7 linked regions of the Rattus norvegicus genome follow. The protein of the gene in region 7 purifies or fractionates together with the protein of the main gene of each other region. This does not show direct contact. Links are inferred from orthologs where the notes say so. Each region holds a gene or a part of one and is shown on either strand. Other genes may lie near its edges.

Region 1 (4,507 bases), on a different chromosome or scaffold from region 7:
TGCTCTTAACCACTGAGCCATCTCTCCAGCCCCTAATCCTAGCTTCTTAAACTGTGAGTCACAACTCAATCTGGGGTAGCACAACTGAACGTAGAATTTGCCATCAGTGAGGTTTCTAAACAAACACACACACACACACACACACACACACACACACACACACACACACCCCACACAATTCAAAATCATTTATTGAATCCAGCATTTCTGGTAGCATTTGCCTGTGATGCACTGTATGAGCGTGCTCTTCAATGTGGCCTTAGTTTGGAGCACATGACATGTTTACATTACACTCCACACGCCCTTCTAAGACATAACACCCAATAGTGTTGTTTTCAGCTCAGATTCCAAAGTACTGTATGTTATGAGCTGCAATGCTTTTACTATATTCACAAGATTTTTTGGTTTAATTAAGTGAAGTAGAGTTTTAATGTTTTCCTATGGTCATTTCTAAGTTTAAGTATCAAATTTTAGTCTGTGATTGAATTGTACTACCATAATGTATGATTTAAAAAGTGTTCTTTCCATGGGGCATACTGGAAATCTTTAATTCCAGCACTTAGGAGGCTGCTGGATCTCTGAGTTTAAGGCTAGCCTGGTCTACAAGGTGAGTTCCAGAAGAGACAGGGCTGTTACACAGAGAAACCCTGACTCAAAAAAAAAAAATTGTTGTCTGGAAGGGCTGGAGAGATGGTTCAGTAAGTAAAGTGCTGGCCACATAAGCAATGAGGATCTGAGTTCAATCTCTAGCACCCATGTAAAAGTCACACGCAGCACATGCCTAGACCCTTAGCACCGGGGAGGTGGAAACATGAGGATCACTAGGACTTGCTGGCCAGCCAGCCTAGCTAAATTAGCAAGCTTCAGGGTCAGTGAGAGATCCTGTGTCTAATAATGGGAAGGGAACCTCTGAGAATGCTCAGCAGGTAAAAGGCACTTAGTTCAATGCCTAAAACCCACCTGGGGGAGAGGGCTGGCACCTAAGTCCTCTGATTGCTACACTAGTGCTCTGCGTATTTGTCTCCCCACTTCCACTATATAAACAGTGAAGAATAAGCCTGGGAACTGGAAACAGCTTAGTGGCTAACAGCACATAATGCTCTTGCAGAGAACCCACATCAGGTGGCTCACAATTGCCTGTAACTCCAGGTCCAGGAGGAATCTACTACACCTCTGGCCTTTCCGGGCATTCACATACACAAGCACCTCCCCATATATATAAAAATAAATCTTATAAAAAAATCAAAAGTCTAAAAAAACAAGGTGGAATGTGACTGAGGAATGTACCTAAGGTTTACCTCTGGCCTTCACATGCAAGTACACGCAATATGCATATATGACTAGCACATTTTGGTACACACACACACACAATTATTAAGAAGCATCCTCAGGTGAAAAGGGGTTAGGGTAGAAAAAATTTAAGAAGTATTAACTTACATCATCATAGAAGTTGAAAGTAAAAGGTGATTAGTGACCTGTACCTGTAATCTCGGCCTTTGGGAGGCTGAGTTAAGAGAACTGATAGAAGTTTGAGGCTGCCCTGGCCTGTTAGTGAGTTCCAGGCCAGCCTGGGGAAAGAGTAAGGCCTTATTCAGGAAGGAAAAAGAAAACAGAAAAGAAAAAAAGAATTGTGCTTCTCAGAGCTGGGGGAGAGAGCAAGAAAGGAAGGAAGGAAGGAAGGAAGGAAGGAAGGAAGGAAGGAAGGAAGGAAGGCAGGCAGGCAGGCAGGCAGGCTGATCAATGGCTACCGAGTATAAGATAAAAAGTTGTGGTCTGATATTGTGGACTACAGTGAACAACTGTATCCTACACATTTAAAAAAATCTCGACAAAAAGACGTGAAATGTTTTCACTATGAAGAAAAGATTTGAGATAATTATATTCGACAGGATTTACATATTACACAATATAGACATGAATTTAAAACATCACATTAATTTTTATATTTTATAATTTTATGTCCAATTTTTATATTTTTAACCTATCAATTAAAACAATTCCTATCTGAGTTAAGAAACTATTTACCCAGGTCATTTTTTAAGCTGATTTCAGAAGGGGGTTCTGAGTCCATTGGCACGTTAATTAACGTATAGCACACGTTCTCAGCTGCGGTCATGGTTCCTGTTTATAACCAACTCAAAACAAGATGAAAAGGACGAAAGGTGCCAGGTAAATCTACAAAAAGGAATACAAGTATCATTAGAAAAAAAGAGACAAATTGGGCAAATCAGTTCTGATCTTTATACTGCCTGAAGTTCTTTCCCTGTGGTTCTGAGGATGTCGATCTATAGAGCTCTCCCAATCTCCTCCCTCCATGAACTCTAGTGACAATCACTCAGTCCCCGTACCCGTCCACTCCCCGACCCAGGGTGTGGAAAGCTGTGGAGTCGAGGTCCACACCACAGTGACAACTCGGAGCACCACGTCACGGGGCCGCGATTGCCAACATAACACAGTCGTATCTGTTCGAGGAGGGCGGCCAGCAAGCGAAGACGCTGCAGAATCTTGGGACTCCTCCGCCGTGGCGGGTTCCCCGTGGGTGCGCCCCGGCCGCCCCTCCTTGGCCTCCGTCCACGCAGGGCCAGGCCTTAGGCGGCGCAGACCCGGGTCCCACGGCCCCCGGGGCCGCGGCCCAGCTCCCCGCCCCCACTGCCCGTCGCCGCGGCCTAGTCAAGCGCCCGGCATCTCCCCATTCGGCGGCTCACCGACCCCGCGAGACCGCCACAACCCCGTGGGCTCGGGGCCCAGGCTGCTACCTGGCTCCGTGGGGGTGGGGGTCGGGAAGGAACCGTAGGACCGTCGACTACCGGTCCAGACAGCCGCTGCCGCGACGGCTCCACTGAGTCCTTGGCTGACGTGGAAGGAGGCGGGGAGGAACTAGGATGCAGCTACAGAGTCTGTACGGAGACCCAGAGAGGACAAGCCTCTTCCGTCCTGCATTGAGCCCTGAAAGTCTGTGCTATCTTCTTCCTCTCTCTGGGTTGGTTTCTGCTGCAGTGTGAGCAAGTAGTTTAGTTTTCCCTGTGAGTGAGGAGCTGACTTAAGCGCTGTGTTCAGTTAGCAGTTCTCCCCAGGAGCTAAAACTTGTACAAAAAATACAGAGGAGTTCAGCAGTCCTTCTTCCTCTCATTTACAAATTGGAAAATTAACCGACTCTTCGGCAGATGATTTCAAATATTTCAATAAGACAACTAGGTTATACGGAAATATACTTGAGCGCTTAACACCCCTGGTGATCCGAATCTGACTTTATTTAGTTGACCTGGAGTTAATGGAGTATCAGAAGTTGTCTGACAACTGTTTCTTTATTCAAAATGGCCTTTTGCTGTCCTTTCAAGAGCGTCCAATATGTTAAAAAAATTATGCGTAAAGGGAGAGAGTCAGCATCAAAGAATTTTTCTTGTCTTCATAGACCTACTAGTTACAGCTATACTTGGACATAGTACATTAGATTTTATTCATTTGTAGTTCCATATCTTATCCCAATGTCGTAGTCAATTATTAATAACAAAATATTTGAAAGCATCAACAGTGTTTTCTCAAGTTGCCTGACTGGTCTTGGAAGGTGGTCTTCGGTTTCTGAGAAGTTGGAATTACAGGTGTGTACCACCTGGATACATACTGTGTATACAAAACCAGCTAACCTCACTTCCGGGACACAGAATACAAATTGTCTTCTCATCTACCTGGAACGCAGCTATTCTGACAATTCCCTTTTCTGGAAACATTGAGTTTAAAGAACAAATCCCCCAGCACTCAAAATACACCAAAGAGGCTACATATTTATTGTACTTAAAAGAGCCACCTCTCTGAATTTTTGATTTTTGATAGTTTCACTGTCCAGGCTGGCCTTCCAACTCTCAATCTACTTCTCTCTTGCCTTAGCCTCCCAAGTGCTGGGATTACAAGCAAGTGCTATTACATCTAGCTTGTGCATTTTAAAAGATGCTTTGAATCTAGGGAATTGTAAGACATGATACTGACAAGCCCTCTAAGAGGTCTTTGCCCAGTTCCTTTGCCTTATGAAGTCTTGCAGGAACTGACATGTCTCCTTATTGAGATTTCACCAGTTTATAGAATCTCATTTATGTACTTGTTTCTAAACAACACATTCAGTTTCGTATGAGGACCAACAGTCGAGACAGTGAACAGTTCCACCACAGAGATCCCTCCTGAGTCCACCAACTGTCACAGCCAGGGGCCCACTTTAACCCCTGCAACTGTCTATCCATTCTAACATATAAATGGAATCATACAATGGAATCGTTGAGATTAGCTTTCTTTATTCAGTACAATTCTCTGAGAATGAGATGCATTCTAGAATGTTCCTTTCTGAACTCAGTTTTTTCTTCACATGGAATCGTTACAAATGCAGTTATTAGTTCTCCAAACTCACTTGACTCACCAAGAAGTGACAGAAAGAAGGGACACCAAACAAGGTGGAGAGATTAGGTTTGGCAACGAGAAAGCTCAGCAGTTTAGGGCCACGGTGGTGTTGACTAACCAT
Region 2 (3,707 bases), on a different chromosome or scaffold from region 7:
GATTCAAGAATGTGCTAGTGATACATTCTTTTTGAGACAGTTTTGTCTTATAGCTCAGGCTGACCTTGAACTCACAGTTCTGTTTCCCAGAGTGCTGAAATTGCATGAGTACACCACCACGTCCAACCTGATAGTGTTCTGGTTGTCAGACACTTGTTTGTAAGGAGCCAGGTTTTAAGTGAGATTGCCATGAATGAAATAGTAAAATGTCATTAATGCTGTCAGTCTCAACACCTCAGGAGACATCTTCTGAAGCTTCTGTATTAGTGTTATGAAAGGAGGATGGGTAAAGTAAGATGTGTCTGTTGGAACACGCACTTTAGTACAGATAAAGGTTCAGGTTGCAAGCTTTACTTGAAATGATGGCCGAGAAACTAACTGCTTATCCAGATATATTTAGTAGACAGCCTGATAACTGGAAGAAGCTGGCTGGTCCCTGACCATGTTTGTTACTGATGATAGAATTCTAGTTTTCAAATGAAAGTTTGAATTTTAAAGAGTGAACGTCATGTATTTCTGATATTCAAAGATATGTCAGTTAAAGTAGGAAATGGTTAGTATTAATACTAATTAGTGATTAGTATTAATACTAATCTATTAGTATTAAATACTAATAAATGTGGCTTTTGATTAAGGGTAATGAAGTTTGTCGTATATGTGGATCTGTATAACTCAATGAACTATCATTTCCCAAATGACCAATGTATTCTGTTACAAAAAACAGGCAGGAGTTAAAAATCTGCAAAGTGTAGGATAGACTAGTGGATTTTAATTTAGCCGAGTGTAAACAGTTACTCCTTAGGCTTCAGATCCCACACGTGTTCTTTAAGGAACCCCCACTTCTCAGACAGCATCAAAGCAGAACATCCCATTCTCCAAAATGGCTGATATATTCTGCGTCCTAGCTTTATGTGTTTGAGGCCAGATGGTGGTTGTTTTGTTACATGTCAACCAAAATGGTATATCTGGAAACAAAGCCAGATATAACAGTCTTCTAAAAAAATCAAATTGAGAGTCTTTACATAAATATAAAACATCAGGGTTGAGGATTTGGCCCAGTGGTAGAATGCTTGCCTAGCAAGCGCAAGGCCCTGGGTTCGGTTCCCAGCTCCAAATTAAAAAAAAACAAAACAAACAAACAAAAAAAACCATCACTTGAAGCCCCTATAAACTTTAAGGCTATAAAGTCAGGATAAATTGGAAAACCACCTCTGAAATCTAAAAATACCCCATGCTTTAGACTAGAAACTATTCACAATTTAGCAAAGTTAAAACAGAATTTTTTTTGTAAGCCTCTTATACACTGTTTCAAGCATATTTTATTTGGCTTAAGAATTTAATTTTATTCAACAATTGTCTTTTCCCCTTAGCCTCTTCGACTTGACATCAAGAGAAAGCTAACTGCTAGGTCTGATCGGGTTAAGAGTGTGGATTTGCATCCGACTGAGCCATGGATGCTGGCTAGTCTTTACAATGGCAGTGTGTGTGTTTGGAATCATGAAACTCAGGTAAGATTTTTGAAAGGACTTCATTAGCAATAAAAGCTATAAAATACCAGCACTAATAATGAAAGAACCACCAGAGTCCAAGAAGCCGCGTGTGCACTGCTTCTCGAAGTAGGATGGAGCGTTATTTTCAGGAGCTAGGTTCGTGTGGGTGTTGCCTGTGGAAGAGGTTCTTCTGGGCATAGTGTATGTGATATTTAAATAGAGCAACATCGATGTAGGGAGTGTTAGCACCAGCTTCTGTTCTGCTTATTTTCTCCCTCTGTCACCAGTGGCAAAGAGGCAGCTGCTATCCATGTGTATTGAGAGTGGAACAGCACTCTCGCAGGGCTGCTCTGCAGGGTGAGGTCCATCCGGATGGTCTTACATTCAGATAAGGAAGTATTGGACTCTCCTTGAGGTAGCAGGTCGATGACTTAAAACAACAGCAGTGTTTTATTACTTAAATCCCCCTGCTGCTAATTTACTGGCAAGTCTTAACCATACTGAGCCTTGATTTATTCCTCTGAATGGATGCTAACTGTTGTGACCCTTGCATGAAGAAAGAATGTGAAATAAAATCTTAGGCAGTTGCTTCTCACTCACATCTTGGTGTTAGCTGTTGCTTTCTTAACTTAGATGTAGCCACTTCTGTGGTCTGGGGATGCAGCGTTTTGCTCTTTCGTTTAGCTCCTGAAGTGTAAGTTGACTTTTCTTGCTCTTTGTCCAACCATGCCCCTCATGTGGTACTCAGTCATGGAGGTTCTGTAGCTGGCCTCTTGCTGCTCCACATATCCTTGGATTTGTTGATGACTCAGAAGATTTGGACATTTTTCTGCTGTTGTAGAGACTGCATGCTCAGCTTGCTCTGTTCATGCCATATTCCCTAGTAGCAGCTATGTGTCTGTGTGGCACTCAGCTTTGTCTTAGCCTGCGAAGCCAGATGGTTGCAACAGTGAGCCAATAAGATTATGGTGAGCTCCTGAGATACTCCATTAAAAATGATAAGCTTGGGGCTGGGGGTTTAGCTCAGTGGTAGAGCGCTTACCTAGGAAGCGCAAGGTCCTGGGTTCGGTCCCCAGCTCCGAAAAAAAGAACAACAACAACAAAAAAAAATGATAAGCTTAATTTTTAGAATTTTAAAGAACAGACAAAGAGATCTGCTCATCTCTGGTTTTCCTAGGTCTCTTGAATTCCCACCTTTAATTCATGTAGATGATTCACTCTGAGCACCCAAAAAACATCTAAACCTCGTAGTTTTTATGCTTATTATTACAACAACTAAACACAAACTCTCAGCATTTTTTTCTGGAAATGTGTTGCTAAGATGTAAAAGCAACAACAACAACAAAAAAGAACAATAACAATAACAACAAAAACCAAAGAAAAAACAAACCAAAACAAAATAAAAAACAACCCAAAAAAACCCAAAACATCTTGTTGAGTCATTTCTATGGGTTCAATATTTTTTTTCTCTGAAACAAGGTCTCGCTATACAGCCCTAACTATCATAAAGCTCACTGTGTAGAGCAGGCTGGCCTTGAACTCTCAGCGATCTACCTGCCTCTGCCTTCAGGTGCTGGGATTAAAGGCTCATGCCAGCCACTATGCCTGGTTTATGGGCTCAATTTTTTAAAAAAGGAACCTAAGCTAAGAGACAATTCTCTCAACAGAGAGTGGAGTAAACTGCACAGCGGCTGAGTCACGAGCTGTTGTAGGTGTGGGCTGTACAATGGTCCTGCTTGGACAGTGTGGTGGGGAAGAGTGAGCATGGAGTCTAGCCTAGTGCTTGGCAGTGGTGCCAGAAGGGAGCAAATGGTTTCCTGGGTAGGTTTCCAGACAGGCGCGAAAGGCAACGCTGGAAAGGAGGGGCAGACCAGGACACAGGGTCTGGAGTGCCATCCGCCTTCTGACCATCTCTTCAAAGTTTCTGATTTTCAAATCTGCTGAAGAGAAGTTGATTGCCCCCCTCCCCCAATGTTGAGCTATCATTACATTTGTTTGACTAGAAATACTTCACAGACTGATGCTTTAATCCTAGCAGAATAAGACTCTTTAGTTACTTCTTCATAACTTAATGTGTCTATTCTTATTAACATTTCAAGACGCTGGTGAAGACCTTTGAAGTGTGTGATCTCCCTGTTCGAGCTGCGAAGTTTGTCGCAAGGAAGAACTGGGTGGTGACAGGAGCAGTAAGTAGCTCTGAGTATCAGATCCTACCCT
Region 3 (4,464 bases), on a different chromosome or scaffold from region 7:
TTTTTTTCTTTTGGTTTTTTTCAAGACAAGGTTTCTCTGTATAGCCCTGGCTGTCCTGGAACTTGCTGTATAGACCAGGCTGTCCTTGAACTCAAAGATCTGATCTGCTGAGATTAAAGGTGTGTGCTACCCTTTCCAGCTTGGAATTTTTCTTAAGGATATGTAATCTAAGCTAGGTAAGACCTTTTCTAATTTTTCAAGAGCCCTGTCCCTGGCAGGATGAGTTAGATATCCATGTATAAAGTAGTGTGTCAGCCTTCGGCTCTAGTGTCATTTATGGTGACTACATATACCCTCTCCAAGTGTGAGTGCTTTACTCTTGTACCTAAAACGGACAGACAGTTATGGTACATTTCCTCAACAATAACAAATCTGCCAGGGCGTTTTACTAGTGGTGCCATTTCAAGCTAATATCTTCTCTGTCCCCCATCATTGTTTGTGTGTGTGTGTGTGTGTGTGTGTGTGTGTGTGTGTGTGTGTGTGTGTGTGAGAGAGAGAGAGAGAGAGAGAGAGAGAGAGAGAGAGAGATCTGAGAAGTGAAGTTTGGTTAGAAGGTTGCCCAAGAAGTAAACCACACCCTCCATGGAGGACTGTAGTTAAGATCTTAGACAACTCCCTAAGAACAGGTGAAGCTGGAAAGACCAACTAGGAATGTGATGCCTCCGATGCCCAAGGTATTAAAAAGTGTGTTTTTCATACTCTGAGACGAGGACAAAACAAAAACAAAAAACAAACAAACAAACAAACAAAAAACCCCAAAAAACCAAAAAAAAATAAAACACCAAACCAAACCAAATAAAACAAACCAAAAAAAAAAAAAAAAAAAAGGAAAAAACATTTGGAAAGGCACTGAGGCACGTGATTGTCCCTTAAATTGCTTGAGTGTTAGTCAGTATGGTCACAGATTGAATCACTTGAAAAGGGTGAAAGCTACGTAGACTACACTGGCTTGAGTGAAGAAGGAATCATAAGAGGCTGGGAATGGCAGTCCCAAAATCCAACCTCTTGGTAAGAGTTAAGACCAGCTTTCCGGTCTCTCCAAAAGGATCACATCATGTCTTCCTTTTAGTACCCGTTTAGTGCTCTCAGAGTCGAACATTCTGTGTCCTGTGCTTTGTCATAGTTTCCATGAAGTCGGCGGATGAAACACCAACTTCGCAAGTGCTTTGGGAACCATTGACATTTTCAAAGCTCCTAGAAGAGAAGCCTACAAGAAGTGTGCCAGGGGAGAGCTGCTTTCGCTATGGAAGGGCCCAGCAGTGGGTGGTCAAAAATGCGGCTGTCATTAAGTGAAGACAAATCCTTTAAGCCCCTCTCTGCGCTCTCCAAGAACTGAGGGGACCTGGAGAAGTCACCAACCAAATAAAGTTCCATGTTTGTAGCCTCAGACCTGAGTTGTAGAGGTTGTGGAGCGGGGCGTGGCGAGCCTAGGGGCAGAGCCCGGCTCCGCCCCCGTGCGGCAGTAGGCGGAGCAGAGGGCGTGCCTGCGTCCCTAGGGGGCAAGGGCGGCCGCGGAGGCCCGAGGGGGGCGGGCCTTGGCCCCGAGTGACGGCCCGCTGGCCCAACCGGTGTGAGAACACAGGGCCTGCCTTCCTGCAGCGTCTTCCGCTCGCCGGCTGCGGCGCCTGGGACGGTTGCGGTGGGTCTGGGCGCTGGGAAGCCGTCCAAGATGATTAAAAAATTCGACAAGAAGGACGAGGAGTCTGGTACGCGCGGCGCTCCGGACGCCCACCCTCAGGCGCAAGGGTTCCCCTTTCCCTCGCCCGTATCCACCTGCTCTGGGGGCGGCCGCAGCGGCGGGGTCTGCCTGAAGCCCCTCCCCCGGCGCCGGGGCCTCCCCTCGGGCCGCGCGCTCCGGGCCGGGAGTCGCCTTGAATTCTCCGCGGCTCCGCCCCGGCGCGTCCCCGCCCCCCGCTCCCGCCCCCGACGGAGCCCCTCAGAGCCGGCCCTCCGTGGGGCCCTGTCGGGGGGCGAGGAGGTGCGCGCGCATGTCTTGGTAGTCTGGGGTTGCTGGTGGGGTTAGGCCCCAGGGCGAGCACCCCCTGTTTTGGGGGCTTGGGTCGACCGGGCCAGGGTTGCGTGTTTATGGACTCTGAAGGGCCTTGATTCTCCTGTTCCCAGGGGTTAAGACTGCCCGGTGGGACACAGCTCATTGAATACGCAGGCATCCAGAAGTGACTTGCGTGTTGATACCTGTCTGTGGTGCAGTGCAAGTGGGGAAGATGCCAAGCCTCTTCAAAAAAAAAAAAAAAAATCTTCAGCTCTTCAGTGGTAGCTGCTCCCACAAGTGTGGTGGAAGGTTGGGTTAGTGGACCTTCATGGCCTCATCCTGCATGGCCTCTTTACATTTGTGATTCTCTGCGAAACTGTTCCTTTCTGCTTCAGTAAATGTGTGAAACACATAAAATAGGGTTTGCTTTTAGGGGAATCCATAGTGTCCTGTCATCTCATTACTCTTGGTGGTGGTGGAACCGACACATTTGTTAACATCCATGGGGTGGGAGAGGGGGAAGCAGGGAATGAAGGCACTCATTTTGGACAGGGTTCCTCTATCAGGAGAAATCCAAGATCTCTCAATATGGCAATGACAGAATTTGTACCAGAATCAAAATTACTTCATCCAACTTACTTGCATATTAGTAATGGTCGTCCTTGTGACTTCCAAGGGATCATTCTGTTTAGGTGAGATCTCCCAAGCATGTACTATCCTCCTTTAGAAAAGTCTGTGCAGTCCAGCTACTGAAGACCTTCTCTTTCTCTTACACTGTAGGTAGTGGTTCCAATCCTTTCCAGCATTTGGAGAAGAGTGCTGTCTTGCAGGAGGTATGGCTTGGATGTGTACAGTGCCTTATAGAGTCTGTTTAAGAATGACAGGCAAAGGGTTGGGGATTTAGCTCAGTAGTAGAGCGCTTGCCTACCAAGCACAAGGCCCTGGGTTTGGTCCCCAGCTCAGAAAAAAAAAATTTAAAAAAAAATAAAAAAAAAAAATAAAAAAAGAAGAATGACAGGCAAAGAACCTAGTAGTATCCTACTAAAGTCAGGATAGCCAAAATAACAATGAGGGACAATGGACCCACCCGACTGTCTGAAAATCAGACTTCCCCCACATTTGATCAAAACTAGAAATTCGTTTACTTATATATTAAAGGTAGCAGAGGAGTGTAGCACAGTGCAGAGGGTGTCCAGTAGAGGAAATGGGAGAGTCTGGAACTCTAGAAGTGTATAGACATGCAGACTCTGCCGTGTGGTAAGTGCAGGGTTACTGGAAGAACTTCCAGAGAGTAAGCTCGTGGTATTCATGTGTAGACAGATACTCTGGTAAAGTCTTTAAAGTTGAAGTTGTCAACCTAAGGGAATAAAGTATAGCCAGGAAAGCAGGCCATATCTGGTAATTATTGTACACCATACCAACTTGAGAGCTTAGACAACTGACATTACTTCGATAGCGTGCCAACATATTGTTAATGTTACTAAAGATGATTTGAGATAGAAAATACACCATTTATAGCATACTATTTTGCATATTTCTGTAGGCACGCATATTTAACGAAACGCCCATCAATCCAAGAAGATGCTTGCATATCTTGACAAAGATTCTTTACTTACTCAACCAGGTAAACTCTTCTGATTTCCTTAGATTTGTGTATTAGAATGGAAATATGTAACCTATAGTGAAGTACTTATTGAAAAGTAGACTTGTTTAAAAAGAAAGCCATGTAATTTGAAAATCCACAGTGTTTGGTTAGAACAATAATGTGTGAAAGTTCTTTAATACAAGGACTGAACTTATATTTCTCTCTAAATTCATGAGGTATTAGACTAGCTAAACATGTACATTTCAATAAATATGTTGATTTCAATTCAACAAATTCTACTTAGAACATACTTGTCACACATATTGATTTTTAGTTTTTAAAGATTTATTTATTTTATGTGTATGGCTTTTATATGCATGTATGTATGTGCATCATGTGTGTGCTTGGTGTTCACAGAGGTCGGAAGAGGGCATCAGGAGGTCCCCTGAGACTAGAGTTACAGAGGTTGGAGCCACCATATGGGTTCTGGGAATCACACCTGGATCCTCTGTAGATTAACAAGTGATCTTAACTGCTGTGCCAACAGCATGTTACATGTATTTTGAGAGCCTTTGAAAATACAATGTAAAGTCAGTCAGATTTCAAGTATTTTGTTTGCTGACTTATTTGGCATAATAATGAAATGTTGAAATTTTTATCTTAATGTTCAGGTTTTATATTAGTATCATCATTACACTAATACTGTCAGTATGATTCTGGACAAGTAATTTAACCATTATATGCCTCATAATGTAAATTAGTTTTATAATACTAATTTTTTAAGCCTTACAGTTGTATAAAATAGTAGATATAAACAGTTATAATAGTGCTAGGCACATAGTTTGTATTCAGAGATATTTTCAATTTATAGCTCAGGAAGTTTTATTGT
Region 4 (3,707 bases), on a different chromosome or scaffold from region 7:
GAACCAAATTCAAGTCCTCTGAAAGAATAGCAGGCATTCTTAATGCTAAGCAATATTTCCAGCTGCGTTTTGCTTTTTGAGGTAATCTGTCACATAGCCCCAGTCGGTCTTGAACCACCTATATAACTGAGGTTAAGCCTAAATTCCTGATTTTCCTGCCTTGTACTTCCCAAGTACTGGATAATAGGTGTGTGTGCACTGCCGTGCCTCTCTACCTCAGTGTCTTTTTAATAATTATTTTAATGTATACACTATCTGTCTAAAACTATGTCTGTATACCACATATGAGTAGTACCCAAAGATGACAGAAGAAGGCACTAGATTCCCTGAGATTGAGTGATGGTTGTGAGCTCCTATGTGGGTGCTGGGAATCAAACCCAGGTCCTCTGAAAGAGCAGTCGGTGCTCTTAAAAAAAAAAAAAAAAAAAAGATTTATTTTTATTTTATCTATATCCACACCAGAAGAGCAGAAGAGGCATCAAATCCCATTACAGATGGTTGTAAGCCACCATGTGGTTGCTGGGAATTGAACTCAGGACCTCTGGAAGAGCAGTCAGTGCTCTTAACTGCTAAGCCATCTCTCCAGCAGCCAGCACTCTTAATAGCTGAACTATCTCTCCAGTCCCTGCCCCTATGCCTTTACCAAGCTACCTGATGGATCAGTAAAGAGAGAAATTATTAAGAGCTGAGATCAGAGGAAGGTGGTGGAAAGAAAAAAAAAAACTGTACTCAAGAGTAAGGTGTGGTCATGCATGCTTTTTCTTTTTTTTTTTTGTTTTGTTTTTAAGCCAAATTTGAATCAAGCTTTATCAAATCCTGGCCACACTGATGGACACTGGCCAGGTCTGTATCCTGGATTCCCAGAGATTGGCCTCATCATGCATGCTTTTTATCTCCGAATTCGGAAAGCAGAGGCAGTGGATCTCTTTGAGTTCAAGGCCAGCCTGGTCTACAAAGCAAGTTTCTTGACAGCCAAGGCTACACAGAGAAACCCTGTCTAGAAGAAAACAAACAAACAAACAAACAAAACAAGGAAACAGTACCAAGGATCAAATCTGAGACTTGAAATTTGCGATGGGCACACTTCACTACTGAACTACACGTCCAGCCCCAGCTTGGGCTCTCAAGTCAGAACTCGGTCTGAACCTCAGCTTGTTCTACATAGGTAACCTCCAGGGAATTAGTGAGCTGAGTCACACATACAGCTGCTTTTATAGTTTGACAAAAGCCAAATAAAAGTAATTTTATATGGTTCTTTGTGGTTTGGTTTCCTCGTTGGCAAAACAAAGACAGTAATGCTTCCCACCCACAGAAATGCTGCCAAGCTTAAACAATACACTTCACAGAGCACACACATAGCAGTAAGGGCTCAGCAGGACCTGGTCTCTCAAAAGTCTTAGCTGTGATGGGAAATTATCTGGTGGCTTACGTGCCTTCTACTCTCCCAGAAGTTGTTTCCTACATACAAGAAGGTTAGGGATACACTCACAGACCCACTTATACCGTGAGAGCTCATCAAGTGACCCTTTCCTACTGTATGGTTCATGAAATTCACACTTACACACGCACACCCTTGATTACACCTCAGAAATCTACCTTTAAAAAACACTGTGACTGTGGGTAGAGGGCTAGAGAAGTGGTTTGGAGGTTAAGAGCATTGGCTGCTCTTCCAGGGGACCTGGGTTCAATTCCCAGCACCCACATGGTAGTTGATAACTGTCTACTACTACTACTGACCCCCTGTTCCTGGGGACCCAATACCTTCACACAAAAACACCAATGCACATAAAATAAAATTTAAAAAGTTAAAAAACAAACAAACAAACAAACAAACAAAGCACCATGGGTTAGCAAGGTAGTGGTGGCACACACCTTTGACCCAGTATCCAGGAGGCAGAGGCAGGTAGATCCCTGAGACGTTCAAGGCCAGCCTGGTCTACAGAGTGAGTTCCAGGACAGCCGGGGCTACACATAGACTCCCTGTCTCAAACTCCCTCCTCGCGCACACACACACACAAACAAAAAAATGCCATGGGAACTTGGCACAGTGGCTCACACCTACAATCTCAGCACTGAAGAGGCTAAGACTGGAGGATTGCATTGAGTTTGAGACCAGTCTGGGCTACAGTGTAACACTGTCTCAAAAATAAAACAGAAACAAAGAAGCAAACAAAACCTAAAATGCCACTGTGTAGGAAAGAACATTAATACTGTATAGATGTATATTCTAATTGGAGATGGTGGTTCCTGTCTGTAATTCTAGCACCTGGGAAAGAGATGTGATTTGAAAACAGCCTGTGTTATACAGTAAGATACTGCCCCTTACTAAAAAAAGAAAAAAAAAAAAAAAAAAAAAAAAAGACCCAGGAAACTTCCTTTCTGGACTGATTCTTTGGCTGGGCCATTTCTTCTGTAAGGCTGACAGGGATTTCTGACAGACCTCTTTATGACCTTGCCAGAGAGCAGAGGAATGTAGCTCTGCAAGCCCCAAGCCAGTGGCTGTGTCCCACTGGAGTGGCGTCAGAGGTAGCACACGCACAGTGAGTCTCACCTCGTTTTCATAGGAGCTGCCGATCACATAGAAATAGAGATCAATGCTGCTTTTATAGACCACTGTCAGCCCTTCCAACAGGGCGATTTCACCTGGGGGAAGAAAGCAGAAACTGAATGGTGGGAGAAGAGGTGGCAGAACAGGAGTTCCCATGAAATCCCGGGGCCAGCTGCCTGGGCCAAGGAAAGGCCAACTGTAATGACCTCCAAGCACTGAAGCTATTTATTGTTTCGAGGGGTAGGCAGAAGGGACTCAGAAACTCAGGGGAGTCTCTGTTCTCTGGTTCTCCCTCCCCCACTGCACCTACTTCCCTCCCTGCGTATGAGGCAGGGTAGCAGCCGATCCTTCGGAGGTAAAAACGCAGAGCGGTCACCTTTACAGGCTTCCATTTACCTGCCCTAATGGATGCGGTACAATAAGCAGAGCTGCAGTTAAATTTGTCAAGTGAGGCTCATAAATCCAGGGACTAGACAGGTAGCTAACAGCCAAGCTTCTACCATGGTATTCCCGTGTGAGGTACACTCACCTCCCCATTACATTTCTGAAGAGTTTATTATATGAGGGGAGGAGGAAAAAAAAAGAGGAGGCCGAGTCATTTTATCTTTTTTTCTAGTCCTGCTGACACCCCCTTCCTGTGGTTCCCCGAAACACAGAGAATGGTGCAGAATGACCTACTATCCGTCCGATGGGTCTTGTTGAAAATGTTCTTCTCAAAGGCTTTTTGCTCCTTGACACTGGGGTAGGTGTCGTCATAGTACTAGTGGGAGGGAAGGAGACATGGTTGGGTCACCATAGCTGTGAGCCCACAATGATTAGTGAGTGTTCTACTCTGGGATCTTGTATGACCCCTTCAAGGCATGAGGTAACAGGGGAATACTGAGACAGAGAAGCATGGACTACAGAGGCAGGGAATGGGAAGGGGGCGGGAGAGAGGGGGGAGACAGAGAGAGACAGAAAGAGACAGAGAGATAGATTGCTGCCAAGCCTCAGAGCCAGAACCCACATGGCAGAGAGAGAGAGAGAGAGAGAGAGAGAGAGAGAGAGAGAGAGAGAGAGCTCCTGCTAGTTATTCTCTGGCCTCTCTAACAAGTTCACACATATACACCCAGAAAAGAAATAAATTAAAAAACAAAACAAACAAACAAACAAACAAAAA
Region 5 (3,707 bases), on a different chromosome or scaffold from region 7:
GACTATTGCCTTTTCTTCCTAAGTCAGGTCTGCTAAAGTCTCATACATATGGGTGTGATTCTGTTTCTAGAGACTAGGAGTTTTGCATGTGGGACAAAAGCTTGAAGAACAAGATGAGTTTGAGAAGATTTACAAAAATGGTAGGTAATTTCTTAGTAGGAGCAAAGTTCAAATTTTGAAATTAATATTTTGCACTAAAACTTTAGTTGACACCTTAATCATTGATTATCAGCTGTTTTTGTTTGTTTGTTTTCCCAAAGCCTGGGCCGATAATGCTAATGCTTGTGCCAAACAGTATGCAGGAACCGGTGCCTTGAAGACTGACTTTACAAGGTAAGCCACACTTTTAACTTGTGGTCTGCATCAGTGGCTTGTAGTCCCAGTGCTCTCTGGCATTCTGTGGTTCTGTGGTGAGCTTTCAGGTACAGTTGTATAAGCCAAGCACCTGTGCCTCACTAGAGCTGTCATGTCAGGATTGCTGAAGACAAGGCTTGGGCATTAGTGGGTTCTTAGCCTCCTTGGGGCAGTCTCATGCATAGAGACATCACTTTGCACCTCAGTCACTAGTCTGATTCCACAGGTTTGGGACACAGCCTATGAGCTGCACCTCTGCAAAGCTCCCAACCATACTCCTGCTCCTGTCAGTTGTTCTCAGTACCTTTGGGTCTTTTCTGTAACACTGTAGAGATTCCCTGGGACCAAATGTGGTTCCTAGTTCTGTGCTGTTTTCTATCTCCTGACATAGGCTGTATTTCTTCTCATAGTTCTCGTTTTGTAGTTAAGCTATTTCGCTTTCTTGTGTCTACTTTGGTAATGTTTTAGAGAACAAACACAATTGCTCTTCTTTTCCGTGGGTTGTATGTATGGATTCAACCAACCACTAACCAAAGCACTCATGAAAAAGTGTCTGTGTCTGTACTGAGCATGTGCAGATGTTTTCTATATCATTTCCTCAATAATACAGGATAGTGTCTCTTTGCTTCATGCTTGCATTATATTAGACACCATAGTTACTTAGAAATGATAAGAGGGTGTGAATAGGGTGTGTGGAAACACTACACCTTTTTATATGAGGAACTTGAACATCTGTAGAGTAGTGTCTAGTAGGGTTCTTTATAGATACAAAGACACAACTATAGATTTCTTGCTAGTGACTTGTAAAATGTCTGTGTTTTTAGGGATAATTTTTGATATCTTTGCTGTTCATGTATTTCTATAACTCTCATGGGTCATAAAACTGATAATTTAGTATGTATATATATATATAATTTAAAACTGGATCTTTTTTTAAATCAGAACTGGAAAAAGAACTCAGTTGGGACTGGTAATGGATGGCTTCAACTCATTATTACGGTACTACAAAAACAACTTTTCTGATGGATTTAGACAAGTAAGTCTGTATTTGATGGTGTTTGTTTGCCACTGAATGGTTATCTCTTTGCACTATTGCTCAATGTAGTCAAATTAAGTTTGGAAAGTTCACAATTTTGTTCTTTATTTTCTAGGATTCTATAGACTTATTTCTTGGAAACTACTCAGTGGATGAATTAGACTCTCACAGTCCTTTAAGTGTTCCAAGGGACTGGAAATTCCTGGCGGTAAGAAACTTTTCTATGATTTCTAGGATTGGAAGTATATGTCTGAAGGTATAGAAAACACCTCTGTTGAAAACATTGCATGCTGTTATAAATGGAATATATATATTTATTTTTCTCTTCTGAAGAAAAGACTCGAATACAGAAAGAATAACTGTGTACACACTTTCTTTCATGACTGCCATATTAGAATGGACACAGGAGTTCTTTTTTCAGGAGAACTTCAATTCTCTTTGATCAGGGAATTGCTAAAGATAAATTTGTAAATGAAGGGCAAGAACTGGACCCCCATCTGGAGTAGTTAGAGAAAGGATTGAAGGAGCTGAGGGGGTTTACAAACCCATGAGAATAACAATACCAACCAATCAGAGCTCACAGGAACTAAACCACCATCCAAAGAGTATACATGGTTCCAGCTGCACATGTAGCAGAGCATGCCCTTGTTGGACATCAATGAGAGGAGAAGCCCTTGGTCCTGCCAAGGCGGGACACCATCCCCCCACCCCCCGCCCCAGTGTAGGGGAATGTCAGAGTGGGGAGATGGGAAGGGGTGGGTGGATGGGTGGGGGAACACCCTTACAGAAGAAGTGGGTCAGGGAATGGAATAGGGGGTTTCTGGAAACCTGGAAAAGGAATAACATTTGAAATGTAAATAATTAAAATATCCAATAAAAAAAATTACAATCCAAAATCTAGAAAGACAGAAAATACATTGTAAAATGGAAAATGTGTTATTTGATAAATTCAGTGTGTAGTTTTACTGAAGAAAAAAAAAAGAAAGAAAGAAAGGTAAAGTGTGTTTGGGATACTTTGCTTTTCTTTTCTCCTGTATTCACAAGACTTTGCAGCTTCTCTGGGGCCTTCTACCAGATGACAAAGTGCCCTGGATGGAAGAGAAGTCTGTTGTCCTTACAGTATTTGGCCAGGTTTGGAGCAGAAGCATCCTTCTGTAGATCTCATACTTTATTAGTATGAAGACTTTTGTTACTGTGATTGAAGCCATAAATAGTGATGTTTGGTTTAAAAACTGAACCCCCCCCCCAAAAAAAAAAAAAACCAAACCAAACCAAAACATTGTGTGTCTGAGCCTGCAGAAGAAGTTTGGCACCTTTCCAGGCAAAGTAGATGGATGATTTTATAACCACGGATTACTCCTAACAGCTGTATCTTTTGGTTATATTTCAGTTGCCTATCATCATGGTTGTTGCCTTTTCAATGTGCATCATCTGTTTGCTTATGGCTGGTAAGTGGACTCTGTTTCATATTCTGCTTTTGTTTTTTCCTTTTGATATGCAGTCTTACTGTTTTTCTCTGTCTGGCTTGAACTTCTCTATGTTGATCAAGCTGGCCTTCAACTAAAAAATAAAAAAATAAAAACATCTGCCCACCTCTGCCCCCTGAGTGCTGGAATTAAAAAAGGTGTGTGCCACAGTGCTTGCCTTTAGATAATGCATCTGAGTCTTGATTACATGCAGCACTAGATGTTTACTTATTATGTTTAATGAGCGGTTTGATAATTGGGTTTTATTTTGTATATATGTGTGTAGTACTGGGCATGGGCATCACTGTGCACTGACACCGCTCTAATTCCTACTAGTTTTCTATTGTTGTTATTGTAGTTGTTAGTGGTCATTCTTTGTTTAGAGTCTCATTTTCTTTCTTTATTTTAAATTAACATACAGGCTATTTGATATCATATGGCATTTTCAAACAAAGTATTTTAGTGGTTCTTCTTTTCCCTTATCTCCTCCAGCACCTTTAATTACTATTGTCACATGAGGGGTGCACATGTAGATAGAGGTGAGGTCAGAGGACAACTCTGTGGAATTAGCTCTCCCATTTTTTTTTTTAAGATTTATTTATTTATTATATATAAGTACACTGTAGCTGTCTTCAGATACACCAGAAGAGGGCATCAGATCTCTTTACAGATGGTTGTGAGCCACCATGTGGTTGCTGGGAATTGAACTCAGGACCTCTGGAAGAGCAGTCAGTGCTCTTAACCACTGAGCCATCTCTCCAGCCCATGGCCCTGTTTTTTAACTTGAGGTTTTTTACAATTTTTTTCTTGTTACCAAAATAATATATAATAATTATAGGACACATAATTAG
Region 6 (3,707 bases), on a different chromosome or scaffold from region 7:
TAGAGGCTGTATTGTAGGAAAGCCTGCGACCATACGTCAAATGCTGGACCCTCCTAAGTGCCTCTAAGCACCGTCCCTGGAAGACAAGAATTTATTTTTAAGATAAATTCTGGAAAGAGTCTCTGTAAACACCATGGCCAGCCATGTGTCAATCCATGAACTCCACAAAGTATAAAGTTTTTTTTTTTTTTTTTTTTTGGTTCTTTTTTTTCGGAGCTGGGGACCGAACCCAGGGCCTTGCGCTTCCTAGGCAAGCGCTCTACCACTGAGCTAAATCCCCAACCCCAAGTATAAAGTTTTTTAACAAACTTGTTTGTTGGGCTGAAGAAATGGCTCTCCAGTTAGGAGCATTTGTGGCTCTTGTGGAGGATCTGGGTTGGATTCCCAGTGCTAAGTGATGAGTTTATAACCATCCTAAGTCCAGTTCCAGGGGATCTGTTGCTCTCTTCTGACTGCCTCAGGCATCAGACATGCACTTAGTGTGCACATACATATGTATGTACAGATAGACAGACAGACAAAACACCCAATGAATTGATCTGTTTGTGTGTGTGTGTGTGTGTGTGTGTGTGTGTGTGTGTGTGTGTGTGTGTGTGTGTGTACGTGTACTTATGCCACAGTCGGGCAGCATTTGGTTCTTTTGTAACATTGTGGGTTTCAAAAATTGAACTCAGATCATTAAGCTTTGTGCTTTTACCTACTGAGCCATCTTGTAGGCCCCAAAAGAGTATAAAGCTTTTTTTTTTTTTTTTTTTTTTTGGTTCTTTTTTTCGGAGCTGGGGACCGAACCCAGGGCCTTGCGCTTCCTAGGTAAGCGCTCTACCACTGAGCTAAATCCCCAGCCCCGAGTATAAAGCTTTAATTGAGGCTAATCACTATTAAACTCCAAAATAGCACTGAGTTCTGGTTTCTTTTCTTTCTTTTTAAATTTTATTTTTAATCTTCTAAGTTATGTATAAATTTGTGTTTGGGAAGGGTAGTGTTATATGCTCATGAGCACAGGTATGTAAGGACCCCAGAAGAGGGCTTTGGCTGCAGCTAGAGTTACAGGTGATTGTAAGCTGCTCCATGTGAGGTGCTGGGAACCAAACCTGGGTCTTCTGCATGAGTGGTAGTGTTCTGTCAGCTGAGCTCTCTTTCTAGCCCCTTCTCTTTCTTTTTAAGGATAGGGTCTCTTGTGCTCAGAATGACCTCCAGCTCACTGTGAGCCAGAGACGGCCTGAACTCCTGATTCCCTTCCCAACCCTGGCTCAAGTACATGTCCCCAAGCAGTACCATCATACCTGGTTTTATGTGGCGCTGGGATCACTCGGTTCATGATGCTAGACAAACTCTACCAACTTAACTCCGTCCCCAGCCTACTTACCACTCTCCTGACATACTGACTTACGTCTGTTCTATAGTGTGCATATGAAGATTGAAGAAAAGATCACACTGACCTGTGGGAGAGATGGAGGATTACAGAATATGGAGTTGCATGGCATGATCATGCTTAGGATCTCAGATGACAAGTTTGGCCGGATTCGTCTTCATGTAGAAAATGAAGATAAGAAAGGGGTGCAGCTGCAGGTATGTAGGGGCTTTTCATACTGAGTACCCGCATAGTCTCTGCTCTGGATTTCCTATTAGATTTTTGCAGTACTTCCAAATTTAATACAGGCTCTTGCTCCAGCTAGGCTCAACTATAGCCTTGGCCTTTTGTAAAGATGGTCTAAAATCTTGTCTTTATAGAAGGAAACTCTTCCCACAAATTTTTTTTAAAAATTATAATTTATTAGGAATCCTATTTATTCACCATTGTAAGCCCAGAAGGGTTTATTTCCTGTTATTCCTCCTTCTTTTTTCTTTTTTTCTTTCTTTTTGCATGTGCAGTCGTTGAGACAAGATCTCACATAGGTCAGGCTGGCCTCAGACTCACTATGGAACAGAGCATGACCTTGAACTTCTAACTGTCTGCTCCTCCTGCCCCCAACGTGAGAGTGCCAGGACTGTAAGCAGTTGAATCCAGAGCCCCATATATGCTAGGCACGTGCTTTGCCAACCAAGCTACATTTTCAGCTGCCTCTTTTTTTTTTTTTGGAGCTGGGGACCGAACCCAGGGCCTTGCGCTTCCTAGGCAAGTGCTCTACCACTGAGCTAAATCCCCAACCCTGCCTCTTTATTTTTATTTTTAGTATATTCACTCATTTATTCTGCATGTGTCTGTGTTGTGTGCTTATGTGTGTATGTGTGTATGTGTGTGTGTCCATGTGTGTGTGTCTGTGTGGGCATGCATGTGCCATGTCATATGAGTAGAAGACAGAGGATAACTTTCAAGTGTTGGTTCTCTTTTCCTCTTTGTGGGTCCCAGAGACTGAGCGCAGGTTATTGCTAGGAAGCAAGAGCCTTTCCCTATTGAGCCATCTTGCTGGCCCCTTCCTTCACTTGTCACTCTGAACTTCAGGCGTCCTTCTCTTCTCATTCCAGACCCATCCAAATGTGGATAAAAAACTTTTTACTGCAGAGTCTCTCATTGGCTTGAAAAACCCAGAGAAGTCATTTCCAGTCAACAGCGATGTAGGGGTGCTAAAGTGGAGACTACAAACAACAGAGGAATCTTTTATTCCTTTGACAAGTAGGTATCTGTGAGGGGTTTTCTCTTATCTTCATTGACATAGCAAGTTCTTTTTGGCAGTGTGGAACTGATGCTATATTTTGTATATTTGAATTAACCATTTAAATGTTTTAATAGATTTATGTGTATGTGTCTTTGAGTGAGTGTATGTTGCCTATGAATAAGTGTAAAGGCCAGAAGAAGTCATCGGATCCCCTGGAGCTGAAAGCACAGATGGCTTTGAGCCACCAGTGTATGGTGTATATAGGACGCTATAGATCTGCAGTGGTTGATCAGCTGTATTTGCCACTTTAACATTTTCTATTCTTCCATACTCTTGATCTTAGCCCAAGGCCAAGAAACAGTTCTACTCTTTTTCTAAAGCTGAGGTGTGATGGCCTTGTTTTTTTTTTCTCAGTTAATTGCTGGCCTTCTGAAAGTGGAAACGGCTGTGATGTCAACATAGAATATGAACTACAGGAAGATAATTTAGAGCTCAATGATGTGGTCATCACCATCCCACTCCCGTAAGTGAAGTTCTCTTAATCCTTATCCTTGTGTTGATTTGTAGAACTGATTCTGGGGTTTGGGGATGAATTTTGGTGGCAGTACCTCACTGAGTATCCATTCTGAAATGTTTGCTCATTTTCTTCCCCACTGTGGTTATACTGCTTAAATCTAGAGGCTTAAACACAGCAAGAGCTCTACCACTGAGCTATATTCCCAGTCCTCTTTTTATCGGTTTTGAGACAGAATTTCACAAAGTGGCCAAGAGTGTTCTTTCTTAATCTCAAGAGTAGCTGGGATTATAGGTCTGAAGCACTAGGCCTAACTGATTCTGCTTCTTCATAAATAACTAGTTGGGCATCACTTTGGAGGCAGAGGAGCTCTTGATTTCCAGGGCAACGTGGTCTACAGAACAAGCTCCAGGGCTATACAAACCCAGTTTCAAAAAACAAAAACAATTAGTTGATTAAAAATAAGTTAACGACCAGTTGTAAAGTCTGGTATGGTGGCACAGGCCTATGATCCTAGCCCTTGAAAGGTAGAGACAAGAGTGTCAGAGCTTTGATCTTGAGGTTTGTGTGACCCTGATTTGAGGGAGAAAGGAGGT
Region 7 (4,458 bases):
TGAGGAAAGTGCAACTTGGAAAGGTCAAGGCACTTGCTTCAAGAAAGCACATGTGGGCCGTGTGCTAGAGGCTCACCTAGTGGGTGTCAAAACCAGGCAGAAGATGCCATAAGGGTCCTCAGACAGCTTCTGCAGGATGGGAAGTACAAAGGCTGCTGTCTTGCCACTTCCTGTTTTTGCACAACCCAAGCAGTCCCGACCTGGGCAGACGGCAAAGCAGTATTAACATGAAGAAAGGCCATGATTGGTCCTGTGAGCATTCACTCATTATTGTAAGAAATAGATGGGTATGGTCTGCTTACAGTTTATTAGAGTTACAGGTGAGTAGGAGGTGCTGGGCCCTTCTCTCCCTTAGTTGGTGGCTGGCACCCGCATGTCTTACAATTCTAAGACTTGGAGACTTACAGGTGGTCTGCTATGTGACTGAGCCTATGATTATAAAAGGGGGGCAGTTTCAAGCCCCAAATTATTCATTAGATAAGAGTTGGGGCCCCAATGGACCAATGGGGTGGGGAATTTGGGAAGGGGGCAAGCCCTGCAGGATTGGGGGGAAAGCTTCGAAAACTTGCTTGAAATCAGTATACCAGTTACTTTATCCTTTTTTCAATGCCAGCACCCTTTTCTGCAGAATAGAATATTAAAAGCTGTTTTATGTTCACTAATCCCTTGAACATCATCTAATTTCCAACAGTTATTATGACTGCTTGTTTGAAACAATTTTTCAAGTATCCCAGGCTGGTTTGCAACTTGCTACACAGCTGAGGATTATCTTGAACTCCTGATCCTCCTGCTCGGTATTGAGATGACTGAGATGAGAGATGACCACGTTCGGCTCCAAGGATGCCTCTTTAATGGCAAAAGTGAGCTGAACTGAAGAGCACTGACACAAACACGGAGCCTGGAGTTTGACAGCCTCTGTTTCTGTTTGCTACGTCAAGGCCAGTTCTACTCCCCACCCCCTTTTTTTTGCCCCAGTGCCACGTTTTAGTCATTCACCGAACTCTCCCTAATGCTCGGGTTCTACGAAAATTTCAGAGGTTCCATCCATCACCTGTATGACAATGCACACGAGTCAGTCGAAGCCTAAATGCCAATGCTGCGGGTCAGGATCTCTGAAACACCCAATGCTGTCCTGATTCGTGGGACCCGGGGTAAGGAAGAGGGGACAAAGAAAGGCATTAAAAGAGAGTCAAGGACTCACCTTCCAGGATGGCCGGGATGCACCCGAGCTGCACCGGCGTGGGCTGCTTCAACCCCAGCTGTCGACACTGTTCCACCAGCCACGACGATAGCCGGAGCTCAGCGAACCCCGCCATGCTTCAGACTAGTGTAGAGAACCTAGTGGTGAGCACTTCCGGCGCGTGAATGGTACATCACGTCCACCCGGAGCAGTCCCGCCTGGGAAAGTTGTGAACGAACCCTGGCAGATGAATGTGACGTCACGGAGAGCCACTGCGCAGCCACCCGCTCCAGATCCCTCAACCAATCCCAGCTTCGACCGCTTTTCAGTGTTTTGGTCCTGAAAACCTTGTGTTTGTTCATCGAATCCGATCTATAGTTCTCGGGAGGCTTTGCATGGTTTCTGTTTCAACGCCTCCTATTGGTCCCATAGAACTACGTTTCCCATAGTTCCCGGCGGCAGGTCCCTGCTTCCGGCCTACGTGTCTCCCAGGAAGAAGACCGGTTAGAGGGGTGGTGACATGGCTCCTCCGGCTCCCGGCGCGGTCTCTGGCAGCTCTGGAGAGGTAGACGAGCTGTTCGACGTGAAGAACGCTTTCTACATCGGCAGCTACCAGCAGTGCATTAACGAGGCGCAGCGCGTGAAGGTAGGCAGCGTGCGGAGCAGTTCTGAGGTTTTGGTCGGCGGACTCGGTTTTTCTTATAGTCAAGGATAGTTTTGAACTTACTGTGTAACCGAGGCTGACCTGAAGTCCTACGCCTTCAGTCTCCACCCCTTGAGTGCTAGGCTGACAGGCGTGCACCCCTGTGCCCAGCTTCCAAAATTTTATTAGTTGATTGATAGCTCAATTCGTAGCCCAGGCTGACTTGAAGTCAGGGTAATGATGAGGTGACAGGTGTGCGCCACTGGCTCTATCTTGTAACCTCTTACTATTTCGTTTCTCCTCACTCCCCTTTCATTAAGTGTTTAGGCAGGCATCGTGGTGCACGCCTTCTATCCCAGCACTTGGGAGGCAGAGGCGGGCTGATCTCTTAGTTCAGAGTCAGCCTGATCTTCATGAGGGGTTCTAGGTCAGTCGGATAATACTGTAATCTGTCTTAATAACAGTCTCAAGCCAGAGGTAGTGTCGCGTCTCTTAAATCCCAGCACCCAGAGGCAGAGGCAGTCAGTTCTCTGCGTTTTAGGCCAGCCTGACCTACATAGCGACTTCCAGGGCAGCCAGGGTGCCACAGAAAAATCCTGGCTTGGACTGTACCCTCCTCGCCCTCCCACCCCACCCCCCCAAAAAAAGAGAAGTCCGATTATAAATGAAGACAGTCTCCTTTAGCCCAGGCTGGCCTCGAATTCCTCATCTTGCTGAAGAACACTGAATTCTTGATTTTTGTGCTTCCACTCTTGAGTACTGGGATTGCAGTGTGCACTGCCAGCCCCAGTTTATGCAGTACTGGAGGTGGGAAGCACAGCGTTGATGCAAGTGTTCTACGGACTAAATCCCAGCCCTGGCTTTGTTTTATGTTTTAAACAGTCGCACGTAGCCCAGGCTGTCCCTAGATTCAGCAGTCTTGCCTCAGCCCTCCCAGATGCAGGATGACAAGCCTGTGCTTGTCTTTAGTTCATTAAAAATGGGAATTGTCTGCAACAGCCTGTGTTGTTGACAGGATCACCTATCACTGATCCCTCTCTGCATGTGTGTGGAAAACAGCATTCCTGCTGGGCTCAGTGAGAGACAGAGTTGATGGAACTCCAGGCTTTCTAGGTGCAGTAGCCTCGGCAACAGAGGCCAGGCAGGCAACCAGGAAAGTGGTAGTCTCAGGCCTGGCTATTTTGACTGTGAAAACAGCGTAGCATTCCAGGGTCAGGGCATGATGGGCTGGAGTGTGGCTAGGGTAAAGTGTGTAGAGTAGTGTGTGGAGGTTTGTTCTTACTGGTCTCAAAGCTCTCTTTTCTTAAGGTTCTGGACAAGCAGCACTTCCTAGCTTTCCCAGCGGCTCTGTATTCACTGAAGACATCTAGCTCCTAGAAGGTTCTCTCTAGTCCCAGGCTCTTCTCCCATCTCAGAACAGCCAGATGTGGCGTCCTGTCATCCTTAGGACCTCTTCTATCTCCCTTCCCATAGGTCCCTTTCCTCTATGTCTCTGCTTTTAAGGACTTATGTGGTTAGGTGTAAGTTCCTGATTCTGGACTCTGAACTTTAGGGATGCGGGACAATAAATGTTTAGTCACCAGTCATTGACCCAGCAAGCTACTTCAGTGACTCTCTGTGATACCGGCATCTTTCCTTCCTCTCCTTATGCCTTTCAGGTTTAGGGAGACATCAAGACTCTTGTGTACTGGTCAGATGCCCCACCCTATGTCCTCGCCCAGTGTTGGTTGAAGCTTGTGCTCCCTCTCTCTCATCTTCCCTTTTAGTACCTACCACAAGTACACAGCAGCCCCACCTCCGACATCAGCCAGCCCAGTCTCCCTGGGGCCCTCAGCATGTCTCATAGTCCAGGCTGGTCCTTCTGCTGAGTTCCCAGGATCTCTTCAGATAGCATGCAGGTGGCCTGGTCACCATCTGTTCTTCCAGGCAGGGAGAGCTCTAGAACTGTAGGTGGCTTGAGGCAGGGCCTCTCCCTGCTGCAATTTCTGGCCACATGAGAGCTGCTGGTTGCTAGACTGCAGTGATCAGGGGCCCCTCGGTGTGTGGTCCAAGCTCCTCCAAAGGCTGAGGCAGGAGGATCATTAGACTCTGTCCTGGGTGCTAACTAAAATAAATGTGTGTATCCACCGACCACAGAATGGCCTAGCCTGTGTGCCCAAAACACAGTATATCATCACCCTGTCCTCACCCCAGGTATCACACCCAGGAGGCCGAGGCTGGAAGATTTCAGGTAGTTCATGATCAGCCTGGACTCTAAACTCAGTAGGACTTTTCTGGGCTGGGGCATGCAGCCCTGCTGCTGCTGCAGCCATATGGCACTGTGCCCTGATACCTGGGGTGATGACAGCCTCATTGAGATAAGATCAGGCTTTTTACACTGTGCCCTCTGTGGAGGCTCCTTTGGGGCTTCTGGGCCTCCTGGATTCCAGCTAAGGCCCTGAGCTATTAGCCTGAGTGCACCAGGGAAGCTCCCAGCAGGCTCCTCAGCCTCACTCAACAAATCTCCTCACAGCTGTCCAGTCCTGAGAGAGAAGTCGAGAGGGATGTCTTCCTGTATAGAGCATACCTCGCACAGGTGAGTGTGGGCCGCCTGGGAAGGGCACAGGTACTCTGCAGGAAAGCTGTGGACAGTCAA

Evidence for each region.
Region 1: the proteins of Cope (region 7) and Copb1 purify together in Homo sapiens (affinity purification with mass spectrometry; 6 studies listed by BioGRID and IntAct, with this or other methods). This does not show direct contact. The link is inferred for Rattus norvegicus from reciprocal best matches to the Homo sapiens genes COPE and COPB1.
Region 2: the proteins of Cope (region 7) and Copb2 purify together in Homo sapiens (affinity purification with mass spectrometry; 4 studies listed by BioGRID and IntAct, with this or other methods). This does not show direct contact. The link is inferred for Rattus norvegicus from reciprocal best matches to the Homo sapiens genes COPE and COPB2.
Region 3: the proteins of Cope (region 7) and Copg2 purify together in Homo sapiens (affinity purification with mass spectrometry; 5 studies listed by BioGRID and IntAct, with this or other methods). This does not show direct contact. The link is inferred for Rattus norvegicus from reciprocal best matches to the Homo sapiens genes COPE and COPG2.
Region 4: the proteins of Cope (region 7) and Copz1 purify together in Homo sapiens (affinity purification with mass spectrometry; 3 studies listed by BioGRID and IntAct, with this or other methods). This does not show direct contact. The link is inferred for Rattus norvegicus from reciprocal best matches to the Homo sapiens genes COPE and COPZ1.
Region 5: the proteins of Cope (region 7) and Sacm1l purify together in Homo sapiens (affinity purification with mass spectrometry; 4 studies listed by BioGRID and IntAct, with this or other methods). This does not show direct contact. The link is inferred for Rattus norvegicus from reciprocal best matches to the Homo sapiens genes COPE and SACM1L.
Region 6: the proteins of Cope (region 7) and Arcn1 purify together in Homo sapiens (affinity purification with mass spectrometry; 4 studies listed by BioGRID and IntAct, with this or other methods). This does not show direct contact. The link is inferred for Rattus norvegicus from reciprocal best matches to the Homo sapiens genes COPE and ARCN1.

The regions. Positions count from the first base shown.
Region 1 is NC_086019.1:177,869,987-177,874,493, forward strand, and holds the start of Copb1 (coatomer subunit beta), read right to left. Parts: upstream 2,855-4,507; 5' UTR 2,757-2,854; exon of another isoform or gene 2,754-2,756; intron 2,691-2,753; exon of another isoform or gene 2,349-2,690; intron 2,176-2,348; 5' UTR 2,117-2,175; coding exon 2,026-2,116; intron 1-2,025. UniProt on the Homo sapiens protein: The coatomer is a cytosolic protein complex that binds to dilysine motifs and reversibly associates with Golgi non-clathrin-coated vesicles, which further mediate biosynthetic protein transport from the ER, via the Golgi up to the trans Golgi network.
Region 2 is NC_086026.1:108,043,652-108,047,358, forward strand, and holds part of Copb2 (coatomer subunit beta'), read left to right. Parts: intron 1-1,370; coding exon 1,371-1,508; intron 1,509-3,589; coding exon 3,590-3,676; intron 3,677-3,707. UniProt on the Homo sapiens protein: The coatomer is a cytosolic protein complex that binds to dilysine motifs and reversibly associates with Golgi non-clathrin-coated vesicles, which further mediate biosynthetic protein transport from the ER, via the Golgi up to the trans Golgi network.
Region 3 is NC_086022.1:60,466,060-60,470,523, reverse strand, and holds the start of Copg2 (coatomer subunit gamma-2), read left to right. Parts: upstream 1-1,570; 5' UTR 1,571-1,669; coding exon 1,670-1,706; intron 1,707-2,770; coding exon 2,771-2,823; intron 2,824-3,533; coding exon 3,534-3,614; intron 3,615-4,464. Other genes in the region: Tsga13 (testis-specific gene 13 protein), read left to right, coding at 1,124-1,293. UniProt on the Homo sapiens protein: The coatomer is a cytosolic protein complex that binds to dilysine motifs and reversibly associates with Golgi non-clathrin-coated vesicles, which further mediate biosynthetic protein transport from the ER, via the Golgi up to the trans Golgi network.
Region 4 is NC_086025.1:136,305,165-136,308,871, reverse strand, and holds part of Copz1 (coatomer subunit zeta-1), read right to left. Parts: intron 3,309-3,707; coding exon 3,227-3,308; intron 2,644-3,226; coding exon 2,552-2,643; intron 1-2,551. UniProt on the Homo sapiens protein: The coatomer is a cytosolic protein complex that binds to dilysine motifs and reversibly associates with Golgi non-clathrin-coated vesicles, which further mediate biosynthetic protein transport from the ER, via the Golgi up to the trans Golgi network.
Region 5 is NC_086026.1:132,101,904-132,105,610, forward strand, and holds part of Sacm1l (phosphatidylinositol-3-phosphatase SAC1), read left to right. Parts: intron 1-70; coding exon 71-140; intron 141-260; coding exon 261-333; intron 334-1,296; coding exon 1,297-1,390; intron 1,391-1,505; coding exon 1,506-1,598; intron 1,599-2,780; coding exon 2,781-2,838; intron 2,839-3,707.
Region 6 is NC_086026.1:53,961,994-53,965,700, reverse strand, and holds part of Arcn1 (coatomer subunit delta), read left to right. Parts: intron 1-1,403; coding exon 1,404-1,569; intron 1,570-2,466; coding exon 2,467-2,614; intron 2,615-3,011; coding exon 3,012-3,120; intron 3,121-3,707. UniProt on the Homo sapiens protein: Component of the coatomer, a cytosolic protein complex that binds to dilysine motifs and reversibly associates with Golgi non-clathrin-coated vesicles, which further mediate biosynthetic protein transport from the ER, via the Golgi up to the trans Golgi network.
Region 7 is NC_086034.1:19,156,237-19,160,694, reverse strand, and holds the start of Cope (coatomer subunit epsilon), read left to right. Parts: upstream 1-1,657; 5' UTR 1,658-1,700; coding exon 1,701-1,826; intron 1,827-4,335; coding exon 4,336-4,398; intron 4,399-4,458. Other genes in the region: probable ATP-dependent RNA helicase DDX49, read right to left, coding at 77-200, 1,202-1,316. UniProt on the Homo sapiens protein: The coatomer is a cytosolic protein complex that binds to dilysine motifs and reversibly associates with Golgi non-clathrin-coated vesicles, which further mediate biosynthetic protein transport from the ER, via the Golgi up to the trans Golgi network.